Arabidopsis thaliana: one gene and its partners. The protein of the gene in region 1 interacts with the protein of each later gene in a pairwise test. Each region holds a gene or a part of one and is shown in the gene's direction. Other genes may lie near its edges.

The links.
Region 2: the proteins of GAE5 (region 1) and EMB2759 interact in a protein complementation assay, tested with the Arabidopsis thaliana proteins (one large-scale study listed by BioGRID).
Region 3: the proteins of GAE5 (region 1) and AT1G68380 interact in a protein complementation assay, tested with the Arabidopsis thaliana proteins (one large-scale study listed by BioGRID).
Region 4: the proteins of GAE5 (region 1) and AT2G41610 interact in a protein complementation assay, tested with the Arabidopsis thaliana proteins (one large-scale study listed by BioGRID).

Annotation. Positions count from the first base shown.
Region 1 is NC_003075.7:7,287,879-7,293,129, reverse strand, and holds GAE5 (UDP-D-glucuronate 4-epimerase 5), read left to right. Parts: upstream 1-2,009; 5' UTR 2,010-2,281; coding exon 2,282-3,592; 3' UTR 3,593-3,938; downstream 3,939-5,251. Other genes in the region: AT4G12240 (zinc finger (C2H2 type) family protein), read right to left, coding at 4,141-5,235. UniProt on the Arabidopsis thaliana protein: Involved in the synthesis of the negatively charged monosaccharide that forms the backbone of pectic cell wall components.
Region 2 is NC_003076.8:25,289,817-25,296,017, forward strand, and holds EMB2759 (embryo defective 2759), read left to right. Parts: upstream 1-2,587; 5' UTR 2,588-2,828; coding exon of another isoform or gene 2,829-2,837; intron 2,838-3,249; 5' UTR 3,250-3,292; coding exon 3,293-3,319; intron 3,320-3,486; coding exon 3,487-3,620; intron 3,621-3,634; exon of another isoform or gene 3,635-3,878; intron 3,879-3,903; coding exon 3,904-4,365; intron 4,366-4,568; coding exon 4,569-4,983; 3' UTR 4,984-5,179; downstream 5,180-6,201. Other genes in the region: AT5G63040 (uncharacterized protein), read left to right, coding at 1-210, 298-510; AT5G63060 (Sec14p-like phosphatidylinositol transfer family protein), read right to left, coding at 5,266-5,343, 5,463-5,585, 5,685-5,837, 5,925-6,071.
Region 3 is NC_003070.9:25,634,863-25,640,113, reverse strand, and holds AT1G68380 (Core-2/I-branching beta-1,6-N-acetylglucosaminyltransferase family protein), read left to right. Parts: upstream 1-2,651; 5' UTR 2,652-2,720; coding exon 2,721-3,260; intron 3,261-3,542; coding exon 3,543-4,181; 3' UTR 4,182-4,276; downstream 4,277-5,251.
Region 4 is NC_003071.7:17,345,148-17,349,567, forward strand, and holds AT2G41610 (uncharacterized protein), read left to right. Parts: upstream 1-2,009; 5' UTR 2,010-2,033; coding exon 2,034-2,966; 3' UTR 2,967-3,092; downstream 3,093-4,420. Other genes in the region: AT2G41600 (Mitochondrial glycoprotein family protein), read right to left, coding at 450-621, 846-1,183, 1,441-1,623.

The DNA of each region.
Region 1 (5,251 bases):
TACACAACTTCTTGCTGATATAGAATTACTTGATAAGCTTGAGAAAGGTAACTTTATCTATGTAGTTTACTAGTTTTAGTTTTAGATGTTGTTTGAAAACTCTCTTATGTTCTAACACAACTTGGGTGTTGATTGAATCTTTTTCAGAGTTTCAAACTGAAGTGAATTTGGACTAAAAGACTAATCAAGGAAACGACTACAAGGTAACTTCATCACTCCATTTTGTTTTCTTTTACTTCTGAACTTGGTTTATAGCTCAATGTTAATATACTAGACTTATGAATCAACGATCATTTCGTATTTGACTTTTACTTGGTTTATGGTTTAATGTTTATTATGGTTTTTTATTTTTCAACTGAGCTTATTTGGTTTTGATGTAACAGGAACAAGTCATGGGGAATCTATCATGTTTGGATGTTGCTTTGGATTTGAACTTCTTTCTTTACTTTGAATGCTTTGGATTCGATTCTAAACGATGTTTTTATGTCTTGCTTTGGATTTGAACTTCTTTCTTCTATTTGAATGGTTTTATTTGGATGTTTTGAATCTTGCTTTTTGGGTTGAACGTATGAAACTTTTATTATGTCATGCTTTATTGATTTTACTTTAAGTTTTTTTTATTACAAATTTACAGGTTTTATGGTATATGTGGTTAGTATCAAGTATGTTCGGGTATATTATAGTAGTTATAAACTAGTATCGAATAATATTCGGTTACTTTTTGGATTTTTCAATGGAAGTACCAATACCTACCCAAACCCAAAATTTACCGGATCGAACCCGAACCGAAGTTTTCAAATACCCGAACGGGGTCTAAAATTATAGTTCCGAAAAATCCGAACCCGAAAAAATCGATCCGAACCCGAACCGAATACCCAAACGCCCAGGACTAGGAGAAAAATACTCCTATCAACCAAATGAGTGTATATCAGACGATGTGTACGGACTAGCTTGATAATTAGTACAAGCGTCAAACAACAATTTTTTGAAATAAATTTAGAATTTTGTGCAATAAAAGCAAATTTCTTTGACCCAGCCGGTTATGCTCTAGTAAAATTAGTTAATGATCGCTAGAAGGACAAAGTCAATCTTGATTTTGATAATATCCTAATCTAACCAGAGTAATTACAAATTAACTGTATATGGCATAACCGATATTTTGGTAGTAATTGATTTGGCTCCTTATTACCATAAAGAAATAGAATTTTATTATAAAGAGATCAATTTTCTGATAGGTTAACTATACTAAGCTGATTAATATCAGTGTTGCGTGATTATATGGTATATTACGATTTGTATATCTTATTAAATGTGGATTATTTCTTAAAGCTTTTACTATGACACTAGGAATATATAACATTAATTTTCGTTTGATGTCGAAAATAATGGTTAGGTGAGATATAACAATCATAAACTAAATTAAAATAATATTTAACTTATCACGAATATTGTTCACATTGCTAACATACTAGCATGTATCCACATAGTATTGTTCACATTATAAGTAGAAAATTCTTATTAAAAAATAAAAAAATCACTACATTTTTTAATGCAATTTTATTGTTTACCTCCTAAAAAACAGATCAATTTCATAAAATAAAAAATAACTCGTAATAAAATTCCTCAAAAATAACCGATTTTGTATTATTTACTTTTTTGTCAATCGATATAAATTAGAACTAAAAAAAGTTAATCCCGAAAGATATTATTTATATATATGACATGATACGATCGATTTTATATCTATTTTTATCATTATTACCCCCGTTATTTCACATTTCTTATAACCTTTTGTTATTGTATAATTTTTCTTTTTATTATCAATCGGAACAAAGAAATACAGAAGTTAAAAGCAAAAGTAGTAAATATTATTAAACAATTATTGCGTGTAAAAATAGTGTATATGTGATCGTGTACAAAAGTACATGCATAACATGATCAATATAGAATGCAATACAACTATACAAATGTCAACAATCTACAAACACGTTTTAACTTTGAAAAGCAATCTAAAATTCATGAATCTAAATATACTCTCTGGCAGCTTTCTTATTACCATATCTTAAAGATTGAACCAAATAAATAAATTTACATCATTAACCAAATTAAACCATCCACATTTAATTTAATTACAACAAGTAAGTAAAAGATCGTCTCTTTCTTCTTTCCCGGAAAATCCTCTCATTTTTGACTTGCTCAATTTTGCTTCCTTAAGACCCAAAAATCCAAACCTAACCCTAATCGACATTTTCTCCGATTTCTAAATCCTCCTCCGGTGAAAATGTCTCACCTTGATGATCTTCCTTCTACTCCCGGAAAGTACAAAACCGATAAAGTTCCACCGTACGGGATTCTCCACCACCACCGTTACCTCCGTCTCTCAAAACTCACCCTTTGGGCTTCTCTCTTCCTCGCTCTCTTCCTCTTCTACCTCGTTTTATCTCCTCCTCCGTCACCATCTCGCCGGAATCTCAACGATTCTTCCTCCATTTCCGCCGCGAAATACGGCGGCTCTCACTGGGAGAAACAAGTCCGTAAATCCGCTCGTCCTAGGTCTCACGGCGGTTTAACGGTATTAGTCACCGGAGCTTCCGGATTCGTCGGTACTCACGTCTCGATCGCGTTACGAAGACGCGGCGATGGTGTTCTAGGTCTCGACAATTTCAATCGATACTACGATCCAAAGCTTAAACGAGCAAGACAAGGCCTTTTAGAAAGATCAGGTGTTTTCGTAGTCGAAGGCGATATAAACGACGCCGTTTTACTCAGAAAGCTCTTTGATGTTGTCCTCTTCACACATGTTATGCATCTCGCTGCTCAAGCTGGTGTGCGTTACGCAATGCAAAACCCTGGCTCATATGTTAACAGTAACATTGCTGGGTTTGTGAATCTATTAGAAGTATCGAAATCAGCGAATCCGCAACCTGCTATAGTCTGGGCTTCCTCTAGCTCTGTTTATGGTCTGAATTCGAAAGTACCCTTTTCGGAGAAAGACCGTACCGATCAACCAGCGAGTTTGTACGCAGCTACGAAGAAAGCAGGTGAAGGAATTGCGCATACTTACAATCACATCTACGGATTATCGTTAACGGGTTTGCGGTTTTTCACTGTCTATGGACCTTGGGGTAGACCAGATATGGCGTATTTCTTCTTTACTAAAGATATTCTTAAAGGGAAGACGATTACTGTGTTTGAATCTCCTGATAAAGGTAGTGTTGCTAGGGACTTCACTTACATTGATGATATTGTAAAAGGTTGTTTAGGTGCGTTAGATACTGCTGAGAAGAGTACTGGTAGTGGTGGTAAGAAGAAAGGTCCTGCTATGTTTAGGATTTATAATTTGGGGAATACTTCTCCTGTTCCTGTTACTAAGCTTGTGACTATATTAGAGAAGCTTTTGAAGATGAAAGCTAAGAAAAAGATCATGCCTCTACCGAGGAATGGGGATGTTGAGTTTACTCATGCCAATATCACGTTAGCGCAAGCAGAGCTCGGTTATAAACCTGCGGTTGATCTTGAGACGGGTTTGAAAAAGTTTGTGAAATGGTATATGGGTTTTTACACTGGCTCGAAGAAGAAGAGTTCTTGGTGAGCTCTGTCTCTCTGCTTAAGTCATGGTCTCTGTTTCCCCTTGTTGAGCTTGGAGTTCGCTCTAGGTTAAGCTTTTGAAACCGAGCACTTGCATTGCCAGGAAAAATCACTTACGTATCTGCATTGTTTCTGTGTTGCTAGATTTTGCTTCATTTATTTGTTAGTAGATTTTGAGCAATGTACAGCTTCATCACTTAGATGTTTCAATTGTCGAAACTCAATTGTCTTTTCCATCATGTCGGAGGAATAAAGTAGCTTGGATTTTGATGCATATACTCTGTAGTAATTCAATCTATTGTCACTTGTTTCTTGTGAATTCAAACATATATTTATTCTTATTCTGACCAATTTTTACATAGCTCTAATCACTTGACTAACGATGATGGTTTGGAAGAACAAATCAAATCACTGCATAATCTTATAACAAGAAACAATGAATGTTCTCTAGCCTGAAGTTTATGTAATATGCCAATAGATTCACAAGATTGTTCTCTAGCCTATACCATGTTATCTTCCTCTGCGCAATCAACCACGACATATGCGATGATGTTATCGACAAGTTCTTGAAGATCCAACACCATCTTCAGTATCGATCTTCCACCAGTCAACACCATCACCAATCTCCACAGGTTCCACCTCTGTTCCATTCTCAATCTCATCATCATAATCAAACTCGTAATCCCAAACACCGCAAGAACCACCTCTCTCTTTCTCCAAAGCAGGATCATAAGTCCACTCCAACTTCTTCAACACATCTCTATCCTTCCACTTCCCCACAACTTTCTCAACTTCCTTCTTCGCCTTCCCCATCGTCACTTCCTTCCACGAATACGCAACATCCGCTACTCGCTTCAGCGCACCTTCGTTCGAATCTCCAATCACAACCGTCCTCAAACACCTCTCCTTAGCTTCCCACAAAATCCCCGCAAAATCAGAATCATCAGACACTAAAACAACACACTCCACTTCTCTCTTATCCATCACTTCAACCAAATGTTCCTTCAACGCCTTATCAGCAGCATCTGGCTTATCACTAACCATCTTCACCCAAAAACCAGCTCGTTTCAGCTCATCAGCTAAACCGTAACCTTCCTTCGGAGTCAAAACATTCCTCGCCGCTCTTTTATACTTCTCAATCTTCATCGAATACTTAGCCACAAGTCTCACTCTTCGATGTCCTTTCGAAGATTCAATCTGTCTCATACGTTTCTGATTCTCTGTCTCATGAATCTGCTTGAAATGATTAATTAGCTTCTCGTTAGTGTAGAATCTCCGGTCACAAACACCGCAGAAGTAAGGCTCCGGTGGTTTAACTAAACCTTTGTTCTCTAATTTGTTTAGCAATTTCCTATCTTTCCTCTGTTCTCGAACTTCTAAAGGAACGTAGCTAAAGGCGTGACGATTCGCATACGCCATCATTAGCTTCACGGTTCCGAAAGACGACGCGGCGGTTCGGAGCTTGACGGCGGCGTCGTAAGGCGGGAAAGAGGCTGGTGGTTTGTTGTCTAGATCCCACCAAACCCCTACTCGGATTTTGGGTTTAGGGTTTATCGAGCTAGAGCTAAAGCTAAAACCTTTGATTGAATTGAGAGATGTGGTTTGGGTTTTAGGTCTCCAACTTTTTAGGACAAATCTTGAAAACATCGCCGGGATCTTTAAA
Region 2 (6,201 bases), on another chromosome or scaffold:
TTAGGACAAAGAATCTCCTCTGTAGCAACATTAGTGCTGAGTCTCATGATTCCAATGGTGACAATGGGATTCGTCTGGCCATGGACTGGACCTGCAGCATCAGCTACTCTTGCACCATACCTCGTTGGTATCGTTGTTCAGTTTGCATTCGAACAGTACGCAAGATATCGTAACTCTCCATCATCTCCTATCATCCCCATCATCTTTCAGGTATGTGATCACTCTTCTTCAATCAACACCTCTCAAAAGATATTTCACTTTAACACACTTTTGAAGGAACCTTTTTGGGTTTTGTAGGTATACAGACTTCATCAGCTGAACCGAGCGGCGCAACTAGTAACAGCATTGTCATTTACGGTTAAAGGAGCAGAGGCAACAGTTAATAATCTGGCAATCAAGAAATCACTGGGCACACTTTTGAATGTGATACAGGTTTTGGGTGTGATTTCAATCTGGTCTATATCTAGCTTCCTCATGTGGTTATCATCACCTTCCCAAAACCAGTCTTGATGTATGAAAACATCTTTCTTATTATTATTACAGAGAAGAGAATAACACAGATCTGTCTCGAGTTCTTAACTGTAAAATCCTTTACCTTTTTAAAGATTTTACTTAGGGATCCAGTTATTCTGAAACTTAAAAGATTCAAGTGGAGATCTGATTCCAGTTACAAAATTTGAGGTACTTTGTGACGCCTCAATTTACCCAACACATTTGGAAATTGGAATTATTGGGTAACTGAAAAGTTGTCAAAAGCTAATCTATTTGTGGTAATTGGATTTTCTTCCTAAAAATAGTATGTACATATCACTTTTGGTCGAATGTCTCCTTGTCTAAAAAAAGGTCCATAATGTTCTGTTCAAATTCATGTCTTTTTACGTGGCTGCATAAACTTCATCTAAGTCCCAACATTTTAACTACCTCAAACTGTCAACGTCTTGGAATAATCAAGTCCCCAAATATTGTCTATATCAATCAAATATCATAAAACTTCTCCACAAGGCACCAGGAATGTAATTATATTTAACACAAAAAGATATCGATATTAATAAAAAAAACTTTATACAACCCTTTATTTGAAATCAATTGGTAAACCAAAGTACAACAATAAACATGCCTAAAAGTCTAAAACAATTAAAAAAAATTCAAAACAATTTGTTAAGTAGAAAATTCAAAATTGTATGCCAAGGTAAAAAATCGATTTCAATATTACTGAAGAGATATTGAAATAGCGATCTTTTACATACCGAAGGGTCAAACATGATAAAGGCACTCAAAGATTAATATGTGCAAAAGATGGCCGCTCTGCCTACCAAAACGACATGACATGCGGATGGAAGATTTTTGCACCATCATACGTAAGTGTATACACTACTGTGTAAATTTCTCATATCGAATATACCATCTCATATAAAAAGCTTCCTATCTTGACTAAGAAATACAATAAAACTGTAACGACTATTGGAATGAAACCTCAATAAAACACCAAAAATAAACAGCTGCAAATCTAAATATTAGAAAGATTGTAACATTTTTAGAACAAGATCCAGATCTATTCTCTAACTGACCAATCAACTATCACCAACGTGTAAACAAGCTAACACATAAGTTTATGGAGTTAGAGAATATCTTCTACCACTTAAAAAGAAAAAGAACGAAAAACATGGAAGAGAAATATCGAATAAGGAGGAGACAGACAAAGGAGGCTTCTAAAGATAATGAAGGTATATGCAAAAGAGGTTTGGTTTATATAGAGAGAGGCTTGGAAATTAGGTCAATGGTGTTTATTAGTCGGTCGATGGAAATAGGCAGAAATTGGAAATAATATAAAAAGGCAATTTTCTAAGAAAAGAAGGAAATCTGTTTGGTCAGCGGGCAGCTACCCGGTGAATTAAACAATTCAGCAACTTGTCTGAAACAGGCAGCCTCGAGACTCCCACATGATCTTCCCGGTTCAATTTGGTTTACAAGTCTAATTGTATTTTAGATTTCGGTTTGGTTTGATTTTTCTTCTTTTTCTTTCTCAAGGGCCCATTTAGCATGATTTCTCGCAAGTCTACTATTGGATTAACCGATTAAGCATTAGGCCGAAGCCTAGGATCAAAATTCAGGGTATAAAGATCCATATATCGCTTGACTAAGTTGATAAACATCCGACCACAACCCCTTTTAAGTCCAATGAAATCAAGTTGTTAGTTAATTCATTGTGAAACTAGAGATTCAAGTTTTGGTTCCTTCAAAGATATTCGATATAAAAGAGAGGACTTCAAGTTTTGAGAACGTAATTACATGTTTCACGTCGTGGTTTTCAAAAAAATGATTATAAGAAATGTTATTTTCGTGTTGATTGTATGATTTGAAGAAACAAAACATCATGTAAATCTAAATGTAAAGAGCTTTTTTATCTTGAAAAAAGTTGATAAAAAAGTTGTGAAAGTTCTATTCAAATGATTTTTTTTTTTGTTAAGACTATGTTCTTCAACTCGTTATTTGACTATTTAAAATAGAAAATCAATTGTGATTTAATAAAAAAAAAAACTTAATAGTAATTTCTCCGAAACGACGACGTTTAGAGGTGTTGGTATTAAAAAACCTTTGATTAACCGCTTGCCTGCAATCTGCTCTCCTATCTCTTCCAATCTCCTCTCCTCTCTATCTATCCGCGTCCCCATTTCTTCTTCCCTCTAAAATTCCAATCTTTCTTATTGCTTTTTTTTATTCAAAGCTTCAAGATTTTCACTAGGGTTCTTTCCCTTTCTCTTATTCGATAAATTCTGTTCTTTTCTTTCGTATTCTCACGGACGAACAAACCCCAAGGCAACGAGCTCATGATTGAGGTCCGTTCTTCTGCTCTTTCCCTCTCAGTTTCTTCGCAGCTGTTTTCTAATTTGCAATCTATTTTATGGATTTGGGGTACTTTTGTTAAGGGAACAAAACCTATCATTTTCCAGGTTTCTTATGGTTGCGCTTTAGATTTTATAGTTTAGTGTAATTTAATCTGATTTGGGGAATTGGGTGTTGGATAAGAGTGTTTTGCAGCTGAGAGGATTGAAAAATTGAATATTTATGATATTTAAGCTCGCTAATGAGGTTCTCTTACTTCGGATTTTGCTCAGCTTCGCTCCTGTCAAGTAATTTTTGTTGTGATCTATATATGAAATTTCCTTTTAATGTTTTATGGTCGCTACTTGTGATTTCATCATCTTTGGAGGTTACAATCATCTTATTCAATCCTTTCTTCGGCCTCAGATTGTGGCTTTTGAGTAAATGATTCACTGCTCAGCTAGAGACAATGGTGTTGGTAACCCATAAATTGCAGGTATCTTAGACATAGATCTGTAAAGTCCTAAATTCTACTTTGTTTTGTGTCTCTGTAATGGTCATGTCTGCAAATGGTTGTACCTTCCGTTTCACTCTTGTAAAGCCTTCTTTTACTTGCCACACTAGAAATATAGATGTTTACCTCCCCCTTGTTCTCTCATGTAGGGTTCACATGTCTTGTCTCCTTGGAGTTCGCCAACATGGACCAGAGGCTTGTGTTTAAAGAGACCTGTTACGACAGTGCACTTTGTTGAGAGGAAAGATAAGCATTTACGATTGAAGCAAAAATGTTGTTTTAGGTGAGTATCCCACTTTACAAATCCCTGCTTAGGTTATGTACTACTTAGTTTGAGACTCATTACTCTCTCTGTACGACTGTACTCTAGGAAGGTAGATACGTAGTTATATTGTGGATTAAAATGTGCCTCTTAATACGCTGAGACCTATCTGTTAGCTAAGAGATTCCTTGTTAGATACTGAGACGTATGAACATATAGGAAACTATACTAAAAAGTTATAGTTCATATATTCCCTTTGCAATTGATTCTCGGAATCATAATATGTTGTGAAACTCTTTTGCAGTTTAGGGTCCCCTTGCAACGGTGGATTGAGAGCAAAACCTTTCAGAGTTACATCTTTTAAAGGTGGCATCCAAAATAATGAATCAGGAGGAAGTGAGGGTGGGAAGAAAGTTACTAATAACTCTGTCAAACTATCTTACCGTTCAGATGATGACGAAAATAATGTGAATGGCTCCCCAAAGGCACAGAACACTTCGTTTTCATATACCTCGGAAACAGAGGATTCCATGACAGGGCAACCCGCTATTCAGAAACTATTCAAGAAATGGTTGACATTGTTGCGCACACAGTCACCTATTCAAGTGATTGACGAGACTTTAGGAGGAGAACAGGTTCCACAAACGACGAAGCAAGAAACTGAAACAGAAATTCGGAAAGCAGAAAGTCTCCAGAGTACCAAAAATACAGTTTGGTCCTGGTTTTGGAGTCTAGACGCAGCTATCAAGATTCCGTTGCTGTTATTGTAAGTATCAGCATCAAAGCATCTTTTTCTTTTGCTTGATGAGGTAGTCTAGAGTTAGTTATCAATAGAGGAAAATCGACTAGATGTGAACTTATATTCAAAAACTGTCCTTAGGAAGATTTAAGAGTGTCACAGCCACTTTTTTCTTTTCCAAGTTCCTTGTATGTGTATTGACTATACTTTCACCTTGACCTTTTTTGTAGTGTTCCAGCTTTCCTAGCTGTTTACGCGATCTGTGGTGCTGAAGTTACAAAGGAATTATCCCCTATGTGGGTGGTTGGCCCCTTGATCATCGCCCTTTATATAAAAATGTTCCAAGGACTATGTTCCCTTTACGCCTTCTGCTTCAACCAAACCATCAAAATGATAAGAAACCTACCATCGTATTATCTTGTAGCATACCAATACATTGCCGATGGAAAGCTCAAAGACGACGTTAAAGCTCTAGTGTTTAAACCAGTGGTGGCCATCAAGAACACAGACTACAAAGAGCTCACACGCACGAAGCTGAAACAGTTCCAAGAATGGATCATTGAGAAATACCTGGATTTTGTTGAATCTGTATGGCCTTATTACTGCAGAACTATCAGATTCCTGAAGAGGGCTAACCTGATTTGAAGATCTTCAACATGGAACCCTCAAATTCTGACTTCTCAGGGCTTCTCTATGATTTCTCTCTGTGCTTTGTTTACCTTTTTTTTTTTTTTTCTTAATTTTAGGAAGGCTTTTCATGTTGTTTGTTCTTATCTCTATGTATACTGATACCTTTTTTGAGGTTTTACAATGAGTTCTTTTAATATTAAGGGTTATCCCTTTTCTCCATACTTAAAAATTATCTATACACATATAAATCGACAACAACAGAAGAAATAAGTGCTTAAAGGTCTCTTATAAACCTCTTTAGCTCCGGAAATTTGATGGTAATGTTTCTTCAGTAAAGTACTCCTTTCTGACGGTCTCTGCTGAGCAAAACTTGACCTTCACATAAAGCAAAGTATAAAAATCCATCTAGTCCAGTCCTCTGAATAACCACACTATGTAGTATATAGCAATTAGAATCGATGCATAAAAACATAGCAATATGGTATGGAAGTTACCAGAGAAGCGTATTGCTTCACCAACGGTTTAGTGAATTGCCAAATTGGCTGAAATATGAATGGAGCATCTACAAAAAGGACTTCATCCAATCGGCTTGGATAGTAATAGTAAAATACGTCAAACTGCAGAAACAAAACAATGGAAAAGACAACAATAAGATCAAAGACCATTCACCTGTAAGAAGATACAAAAACCATTCACCTGTAAGGAGAAAGAAATACCAGGAAAGTCAAGAACTTAAGATCTGCGTTCTGAGATCCGAATCCACGGAGATCAAATATCCCAAGTATCTTGTGTTGTCCTGCTGGTAACTTACTTAAAGCCTTTTCAAGTAAGAACACACAAAGCTTTTCATCTTCTATTGGATCAAGCAGCTGCAAAACGTCAGACATTTCACAAATCCTCAGCTATAGTAAATCTGCATTGCTGAAATTTAACAAGAAAACTGGTGTCTAACTTGCCCCGGGGATGTGCTTTGCAGGAGCTACAATAACCACTGGCCGACCTTTAACATCTAGAAAACCATGTACATAGGCTTTTCCAGTGTCAGTAGCTGCTTTAATAGAATCTTCAGAAAGCTCATCTACCTTGAACTCATGACGCCATTTCTAAGCTTTTAAGTAAAGGATAACATGGAAACCAAACCTTATCAATATTACCAAAACAAAAAACAACATGTGATTTGATTCTACAGGTTCTACATAAAAGTGAAGTCTCTGGCAACTTTCTAGATTCATT
Region 3 (5,251 bases), on another chromosome or scaffold:
CAAACAGCAAAAACATAAAACGAAAACCAAACTGTAAATCCAATTCAAGCATTCAACGAGTCATGTAACTAAATCAGCCAGATAGGACAGATTCTCAAATTGATGGTCTGAAATTTTTTTCCTTCAAGTCAGATCAAAGCACACGCGAAAAATTAAAGAAGGTGAATCTCAATCTCTCTTTCTCATAAAAGCTGATGATTTGTTGAAAAGGAAAGAAAGAAAAAGGTATAAATATATTTTTTTGGCTTGAGTTTTGTTTATTTTTTGAAAGAATAGGTGGATGAGAGAGATAAAGCGATATATGGTTAGAGGGTAAATTGGTCAAATTATACATTCAAAGTGCCTTCTTTTTAGAAAGTGTCTAACCACGGAAATGTTTTTTAAAAAGTGTTTTACAGTGTAATATTCTCAAAAAAAAAATAAGAGCCCTTTAATATAGATATAATTATTTAAATTTAATTTATATCTGTTTTAAGAAAATAATAACTATACATATATATATATATATATATTATAAAATCGACATTAAAAACGTAGTTGTTACTTTTCTTCTAACCATATTTGTTTAAATATACCATAGCTATTTATATATTTACAAAAAAAAAAAAATCATAAAATGGGTTCCAAACCATTACTTCATTTGGCCAGCCATGGGCTCATACGTTATGTTGTGAAGTTCTCGGAATAACAATAAAATTTCAAATTTTAGAAAATACCACTGTTACTAGCCTACTTTCACCTTGTGGATCATTTTGTTAGCTATACATGATACTATTGTTTGTTTATTTTTTACACTCTAGAATTTGTATCATAGCTAGCAAAATGATCACATATATGTTGTTGTAAAGTTCTCGGAAGCAGCCGTGATGGAAAACGCATATTCTCGTATCACTAGTGAACCCAAATGATCACATATTTGTTGTTGTTTTTAACTCAGCCATCATTACCATGCATGAGTCTCGTCTAACATGACGGTTCTGTAACCCAAATGGAATGGAATGCATTTTTCCTACACTACGTCATGACATTCCCAGGGTTGATGCCACTTGTTTGCACAATTATTGTCTCTTCACCCTACAGCTTTCAACAATGTGCAACTACACGTAAATTTGACCAATCAATTTATTTATCAATATTTATATAGTGCAACAAGTAATTTTCTTTTATTTGAACCAAACAAAAAAGTAATATTCTTTCAGTTTAGAATTCGCAAGGTTGACTTCAACTTAGTTTCATATCAACTATAATTATATTCTGTGTATATAGTTAATGTTTGAATACTCTAATGGCTTTGTATGAATGGCCTGATATAACTGTCCCTCGAAAATCTATTACTTAAGTAGAAAATACATAATATATAAAATCTTCAATTTAATTACATAGGTTAAATCCTTTTCACTCACATAGTCTCATGGATCATTTTTTTTTTTTTGCATCCATGGATCTACAGTTTTGTAAGAAGTAAAAGATAAACCATGAAAAAATCCTATATCTGAGTTACATGAGATTAATTTTCTAACAAAAGCTTTAAGCAAATAATGTTTGTCACTTTCATTTGATAAATAAATAAAAAAATACAAAAAGAGATATTTCGTCTAAGAGAAAACATACGAAACCAATTTCAATAGCTCAACTGGTAAAGACTATTAGACAAAGCATGTAGGTCGCCGTTCGATAAAAAAAATTATTTCCCACGTATGTAATTGTTTCTCCAGTTTACCTCTTGATTTAATGTCTACGCGGTTGAATATATTATCTGTAAGAGTTGGTACCATGTCTATTGCATACTATAAACATCGAGTAAATGAAATTCACATCTTTGTTCACTTAGGTTTTTAATAGCAATCTACACGATCCTGCTTTTATGGCTGCGTCATTTTCATTCTTGTAGATAAAGTCACTCCGGTAGTTATAAAAAAAAACAAATTAGGTTTAACTTGTAGTGCTATATATATATATATATATAAGCTTCATATTGTTTTCATTACGATCTTTTTTTTTATATATACAATGAAATTGTTGCAAGCGTTAAGCAATGTAAACGTGGAGGTTTCAAGGATGTCTTGTGAACGATTACCAGAAAATAATGTATATTATTGACAAGGTATGCAATAAACTTATGAGCAAAAACGAAAGAATGATAAATCATATAGGTATAAGGTATATTAATAAGTAAAAGCAATAAACTTAAACATGCGACCAAGAGATAAAAAAAAGTATATAGCGAAACTACAAGTAAAACATTTAAACCACCATCAATATTATATCCACTTATAACAAAGAAATATGATTTTGGGAAAACGAACTTAAAAAAATATATATTGCATGGACATATAGCGAAATAGTTCATTCAAAGACAAAGATTGGTTAGTCTACTCCTATCAATCTTTTTAAAAAAGTAAATTAATATTGATGTAAGGAAATTTGTAATTTTAGTTTAAAGAATTAATGCTAGTGAAAGAGTAGTAATAAGATGCTACGTATATAACCCAATTGACTTTGCTTGGATCATCAAAAAACTGCCTCAAAATGTTATATTCCATTGCGTGTGTATTTTTGTTTTTACGAGTTAATCACTCACGCCACAAGATCTCCACTTTTACTTGCTCTTCTCCACTTTTTAACCTCATTCCAACTAGGAAGTAAGATCCATGTATCTCTTTTTAACCCTTAAAACATTGGAAACAAGAATTCTCTTACACATGTATCGGTAGTTGGAAATGCCGACCCAAAAGGACCAAAACTCACCATTATCTCAAGTGATAGAGCTTCTCAAGAAACTACTCCACCATTTCCACAATCTCCTTTTGTATTTCTTCATCCTCTGGATCGGCGTGATAGTTGGAATCATTGTTTATCCCTCTCTACAAGGATTATCTTCGCCTTCTTCGTTAACCATCCAAAGTGTCTCCCAACTCTTCTTTGTAACCCCTCCTCCTCCTATTCTTTCTCCTTCATTTCAGGACAATGGGCTTGACATGTTTCTGATACCACTGAAGAACATCATGCACGATATGGAAGATAATGAACTTCTGTGGAGAGCTTCAATGGATCCTAAGATCAGGGATTACCCTTATCCTAGAATCCCGAAGGTTGCTTTCATGTTCTTGACTTGGGGACCTTTACCTTTGGCTCCTCTATGGGAAAGGTTCTTTCGAGGTCATGAAGGTCTTTTCACTATCTACGTTCACACCAATTCGTCTTACGACGAGTTCATGCCGCAAGACTCTGTGTTTTATGGCCGCCGTATTCCAAGCAAGGTCAGCTTCCCAAATTATTAAGAAATTTATTTCGATACATTAATAGGTTTGGAATTAACGTGATAAATAAAATTTATAAATATATTATAAATAATATATATATATATATATATATATATATAACGGATCGAAGTACATGAATACGATATTTTTCCTATCTTTTTTAGTAAATTACATAAAAATATAAGAATATTTGGTATCTTAAAAGAAAACATATTAATTATTACACTATAATACATAAAATAAAATCAATCCAATGTCATTAACTATAAACGTATGCAGAGAGTGGATTGGGGAAACGCAAACATGGTAGAAGCAGAACGAAGGTTATTAGCAAACGCTTTATTAGACATCAACAACGAACGTTTCATTCTTCTCTCCGAATCATGCATCCCTCTCTTCAACTTCTCCACAGTTTACTCTTTCCTCATCGACTCCACTCTAACCCACGTCGACTCCTACGACCTCACAATCGGTCGCGTCCGCTATGACCGCCGCATGTATCCTCACATCCGCATGCACCAATGGCGAAAAGGCTCTCAGTGGTTCGAGCTAGACCGAGCCATGGCCCTCGAGGTAGTCTCTGATACGTTCTACTGGCCAATCTTTAAAGCTTACTCTCGCTGCCCCGACGAGCACTATATCCCGACGCTACTCAACATGAGGCCGAGCCTTGGGTTGCGTAACGCGAATAGGACGCTTACTTGGACTGACTGGAGCAAGCGTAGGGCTCACCCGAGATTGTTTGGTGAGTGGGAGGTTAATGTGGAGTTCTTGGAGTGGCTAAGGATGAAGAGTGTTGGTGATTGTAAGAAAAATGGAGAAAATAAGATGAGACTTTGCTTTCTCTTTGCTCGCAAGTTTTCGTCGACTGCTTTGGATGAGTTACTCCGGTTAGCATCTATCGTCATGTATTTCTGATCACTCTCTTCCCCCTTCGTCCAAAAACAAAGATGCAATCGGTTTAACTACCAAATCTTCTTTAAGTAAGTGAAATATACAGTGTGTGCTTAACAAGTTACTTTCAGTACTAGGGATGTGAGATTAATCAAAGTCCTTGATAAAGTTAGGAACTAGCCTGTCATCAAGTTATAAACAGAAGATAACTTGAGAAACATTGAGAAAACACAAAAGCCTGACCCCCCAATCTCATTTGGTTTAGTCCTCCATTAGCATTTATGAGAAGGTATCCATTCATATTAGCACCTAACTCTGCAGACAATGTATACTCATATGGTAAGAACTTATAGAAGAGAAAAATAGGAAAAGAAAAAAAAGAACAAATTGCTACTAATAGGACTAAAAGTTTTGCCTAGACACCTGAATACTCAAAGAAGAATAAAGTCATGTCAGATATTTAATCTCCTTCTCCCATCTTCTTAAGCGAGATAGAAACTAAGCCACAAATGTTTAACCAAAGAAACACTTGAAAACACTACTACCACCAAGAAATGTGAAGAAGATCTTAATTAAGCAGCTCAATACACATCCATTTTTGGGCAACACTCAAAACGCAATTTATCAAGTTGTAGAAACAGAAACAAAGGCTAAACCACATATAAACAAGACCTTCTCAAGCCAAAAGTCGTAAATGTTCGACAAGAGAAACACTATTAGTAACAGAAATGTGAAGATTTTATCTTAATCAAGCATGTTCTAGTATGAGAAACACCTAAAAAGATAGCACAAAAAGCAAGAACCTAATGAGAAGCACCACCACCAATGGCAAAATTTTCTATACAATTGTTGATTTTTTCCCCATTTACATATTGATTATTCCATTTTGCTATATTTAGTTTTTTTTTTTTTTTTTTTTTATTCATTCAAATTCAATTTTACATATATTTATGTGACCCAAAACATAATTCCAATTCATTTTCTACAAAAATTCAATTTTTGACTTACCATATCACAAATGATATTATTAAAATAATATCAATAATAATATAATCACTCTTATAATAAAACTTCGTAATGGCCACAAAAAAATC
Region 4 (4,420 bases), on another chromosome or scaffold:
TGTTAAGTGATGCTTGCTTGACGCTGCGTGCTCCGAATTTTTGTTCTCTCTCATTTGCCTTTTTTTTGTTCGTAAATTTTTTTTTATTGCATTTTCTCACTTTTTAGTCCTTTCGGAGAAAGATCAAAAGACATTATAGGTCAAGTATTGATTTACAAAGATAAATACATGAATGAGGGTGGTTATGTAGATGTCGATTACTACTCACTATCTCATGACTAATCATCTTGAAAGATCAAAGATCAAACCAAGCTTGCTTGAAAATTCAAAAGCATACGATTTGGGGTCCCATTTGTTGGAAATATTACAGTTAACATGTATTCGTCGATACATCTTCCCTCAAAACATCCATTGCAAGGACTCTCTTAGCTAATAATACTACTCCTAAGGCATTTTACCATTGTTCCAAAAACAAAACTTGAAAAGAAATGAGCTTATGGAGTAAACACTCACGGCTTTGGAGAATGTGACATAGTTGATTCAAGCCTGCGTAACCAGTTAACGTATTGATCCTGCTCCTTCTTGTTCAGGTGACACAAAAGGAAATTAGTTAAGCCTTCACTGACCCCCTTAGATATTAGGTATTGCTCCAGTGCACTGTGTAGTTTGGGATCTACTTGGCTAAAGAAACAAAGAAAATAACACTGGTCATTGAAATCAAACATATGCAGACACATGAACCTCTAATAGTCTACTTCTTTTTCAATATATATAGAACAATTACTCCAGGGAAAGAACAATGGGAAGTGTACCCAATGCTTTGAGGTTTGGATGAAGTAAAACAGATATGATTCAAGTAACTTAAACAAAATGTTGAGAGATTATCATTTATGAGCTTACTTCACCTGAAAAAATGGTCTCCATAAGTGGAAGAAGGAGCAGAAACAAAAGAGCGGATAAAGTAGGCGCTCTCGATGTCGAAATGAGAAGATCCAGATCCTGATTCGTAAACCCGGCAATGAAACTGCAAGATAGAGCTGAGACCAGGCTTTTTGATACAAACTTTGGCATGAGCTTCCCTAGGAAACACTAAATCATCTTCTAGTTCTATAGGTTCTGGTTGCAATAAAGCAGAGACCACAACCTTCTCGCCTGAATCAAACTGTCTCTTCAGAACAATATCTTGGCTTTCCGGTGAATCCCAATCCAATTTGAAATCTCCTAGAGAACCGGTCTCAACGCCCTGTGGGGTTCAAGCACAAAGCAAAATCATAAAGGTAGAATGTAAGTACTTAAAATCCTAGGGTTTATGAGATCCAACATCAAATTCAAATTCGCCCATCTGGTAAATCACTCTAATGTTCATCAATTCAGAAAAATGAAATTGAAACTGACAGAGTCTGATCGAACTAATGTTGAGCACCATTGATCTTAAAACTCAATTGAGAGATTACTGAGAGCAACGAAGAAGAAGAAGGAAAGAGGAAGACAACAATTTACCTGGAAACGAGGATGGGAGATTTCGTGACGAATTTCACTTTGGAGGATCTTCAACAAATCACCATTTTCAATAGCCTTCAAGCCTCGTTTCAGAAGCGGATTCAACTTCCTCATCTCTCTCTTTTCCCTAAAATTGGCTTCTCTCAATCTACGGAGCACAAAAACTAAAGTAGACTGAATCATGATCCGGTTCGGTTTAATTCGGTTTATTTCCGTAGCAATTTCAGTAGACCGGAATTTAAACGGTTAAACCGAATTCTCAGTTACGTAATCATGCAATTTAACAATTACACAGAACCAATCAATCATCAGCTGCACACCAAACTTTTATTTCCCTTGAAGATCAAGGCTTCTCTCAATACATAGTTTCATTCAAAGGGTGATTTTTTGTATTAATAAACAAAAAATGAAGATAGAATTCAGATTTCAGATAGAGTTTCATTATCCATTTTAGTTCAAGCATCTATAACCAGACAATGAAAGAGAATCAACCATATGATGATGTCACGTCACACACACTCCTTATAAACTATATGTGTAGCTTCTAAGGAAACCAAAAACATATAGATCAAAACAAAAAAAACAAACAAATTATGAATTCAGAATGGGAAATGGATTCTGATAGAAAGAAAACATTTTTCAAATGCACAAAGTGGCAATTCGAGGACACACTTGATCCTATTAACTGTCCTTTCCACTATTTCTGCGACAGCATCTATGCCGGCGACTACCCTCAAATCACCGACGTTCTAGTTTTCTTCTTCGTTACGGTTACTTATTTGACGACGCTAATTGTTGTCGTAAGGAAGGTAATATCAAGAAGAAGAAGAGAAAATGATGATGATGGTGATGATGACAAAGCAAGAAGGTACTTACTTCCTTCTGGTCCAATCTCTCTTCCTTTGATCATCTTGATTCTTGCAAAAGGTCAAAGGATCAATACCCTTTTCCCAATTTCCATCTTTGGACCTGCGATACTACAGCTTGTTCAGCTCTCAGTGCTTTTATTTGAGAACAATATCGAAAAAGAAGCGAGTTTTGTCTTCTTCGAAGCCTCTACTATCTCTGGTATTCTCCACGCTAGTCTTTACTTAGACGCTGTGATTCTCCCCTATTATACAGGATTCGATGCTCTGGTCACATCTACTTTCTCTGGAGTCTGCAAGTCTTGTATATGCAGGAAAGAGCCATTAATAGTGGGAGGGAAGATTGTCTCTTACCGAGGATGGTCTAGTACAACGTTCTTGGTGGTTGGTGTTTTGTTTTTGAGGATTATATGCAAGTTATGCAAAGAAGAAGGAATAAATAAAAGAGTTTTGGTGGTTAAAAATGTTGTGCAAGGACTGACATTGCTTGTTCTTATAAGAGATTGTGTGTACTTGGCCGTTATGTCTCCTGTTGAAGAGCCTATCTTGTTTAGGGTTTTTGTGTTTGGTTTTCTTCTTCTGTTGATATGTGTTTATGTAATCACAAAAGTATGTTGTTTGGTTAGTCGGAGACAGAGTAAGAAGACATCAGACACATGAAATTTGAAACAAAAAGGAAAAATCAGAGGCAAGATGAAGTAAATGTAAATGATTGCTTAATGATGAGTTTATATTGGATGTGATGATGAAATGGTAAAACTTAAACATTACTTCTATATCTATTTATATTTATCCTTATTGTAAATAGTTAAATCAAAACAGTGAGAAGTAGTAGTGTCAAGATGACGCAAGATAGTGGTTACAGTTTTAAACAAGAAGAAATAGAAAAGTGGTGTAACACTTGCTAATTTGCTAGATATTCCATTAGGAAATTGCTTTTGAAAGCCTTCTGAGTTGGTTCATCACTTTACCCGAACAAAAAAATGACTTTTTACTTCTACTAGGCATAAATAAGTCTTGGCTTTTTAATTCAATATATTGGTTATGTTAATGTTGAACAAGATTATATTACAGCTAGTATATATACTGCGATGCAATGTTAAATTTTAGATTTAAACTTTGTTAAAGAAGATTAACCTTAAGAAAATAAAATTCCTAGATTTATAAATATATGACTAACCATACATACATACATATTCAAGTTCAGAAGTCATAGAATTATATCAATAATTAGGTGGTACCACTGTACTATCTTGTATTGTTATTTGTAGCATTGGATAGTTTTACGAAGTTTGTACTTATACATAATGATTAATGAGATCGTCGATCTCTGGTATGCTATTCCGATGACTAATTTATCCCCAAGAACCTACGAACAGAGATTATTGTTACATGAGTTCTCATTGATCATGGGTGTACTTTTATTGATATTAATTGATGAGATTCTAGATCGAACCTCACTTAAACATAAAACATACGAGAAGAAGAGATTCGTGATCCGTAGTAGCTCTGCTTATTCAGATATGACCACACCAATAGAGATGATAAGGACCCAAAAGCATGTACTTACCGAATTACTATGGCTATTGTAAACTTATGCTTAAATCCACGTAGAATTCAACCATAAGCCGGCGTAAAGTAGGTTTAGGTAAACTATAAATGATTAGTCTAAATTTTTAATTTTTTTTTTGTCAATCAATGATTAGTCTACATAAAAAAATATTTCTAGCCCTAACAATTTGCTCAAACACTAATAATATATAGAAGGTTTTGTTAATCAAGTACGCAAGTGAATTTTTGTGCGAAATTAGTTTTTATTTTATTATTATGATTTATACCAGAAACAACTTTATAAGCAAAAATGCACTCAAAGTACTTCACCGAGAGTATGGTGAAGGATCTAGTAAGAAGAGCACTAAGAGAAATTTATATTGGTGTGATATGGAGAGTCTGGATTCTCCTGATAGGGTATTAGTAGTTGATACCGCCTTGGTTTGGTCTATGTACACCGAGTTTGTTCAGTTCTTTCTATATATGAAACCTCAACCCTAGGCACATGTCCCAAAATCTGTATAGGATGGAGCTGAACATACTCGGTGTACATAAACCAAGCC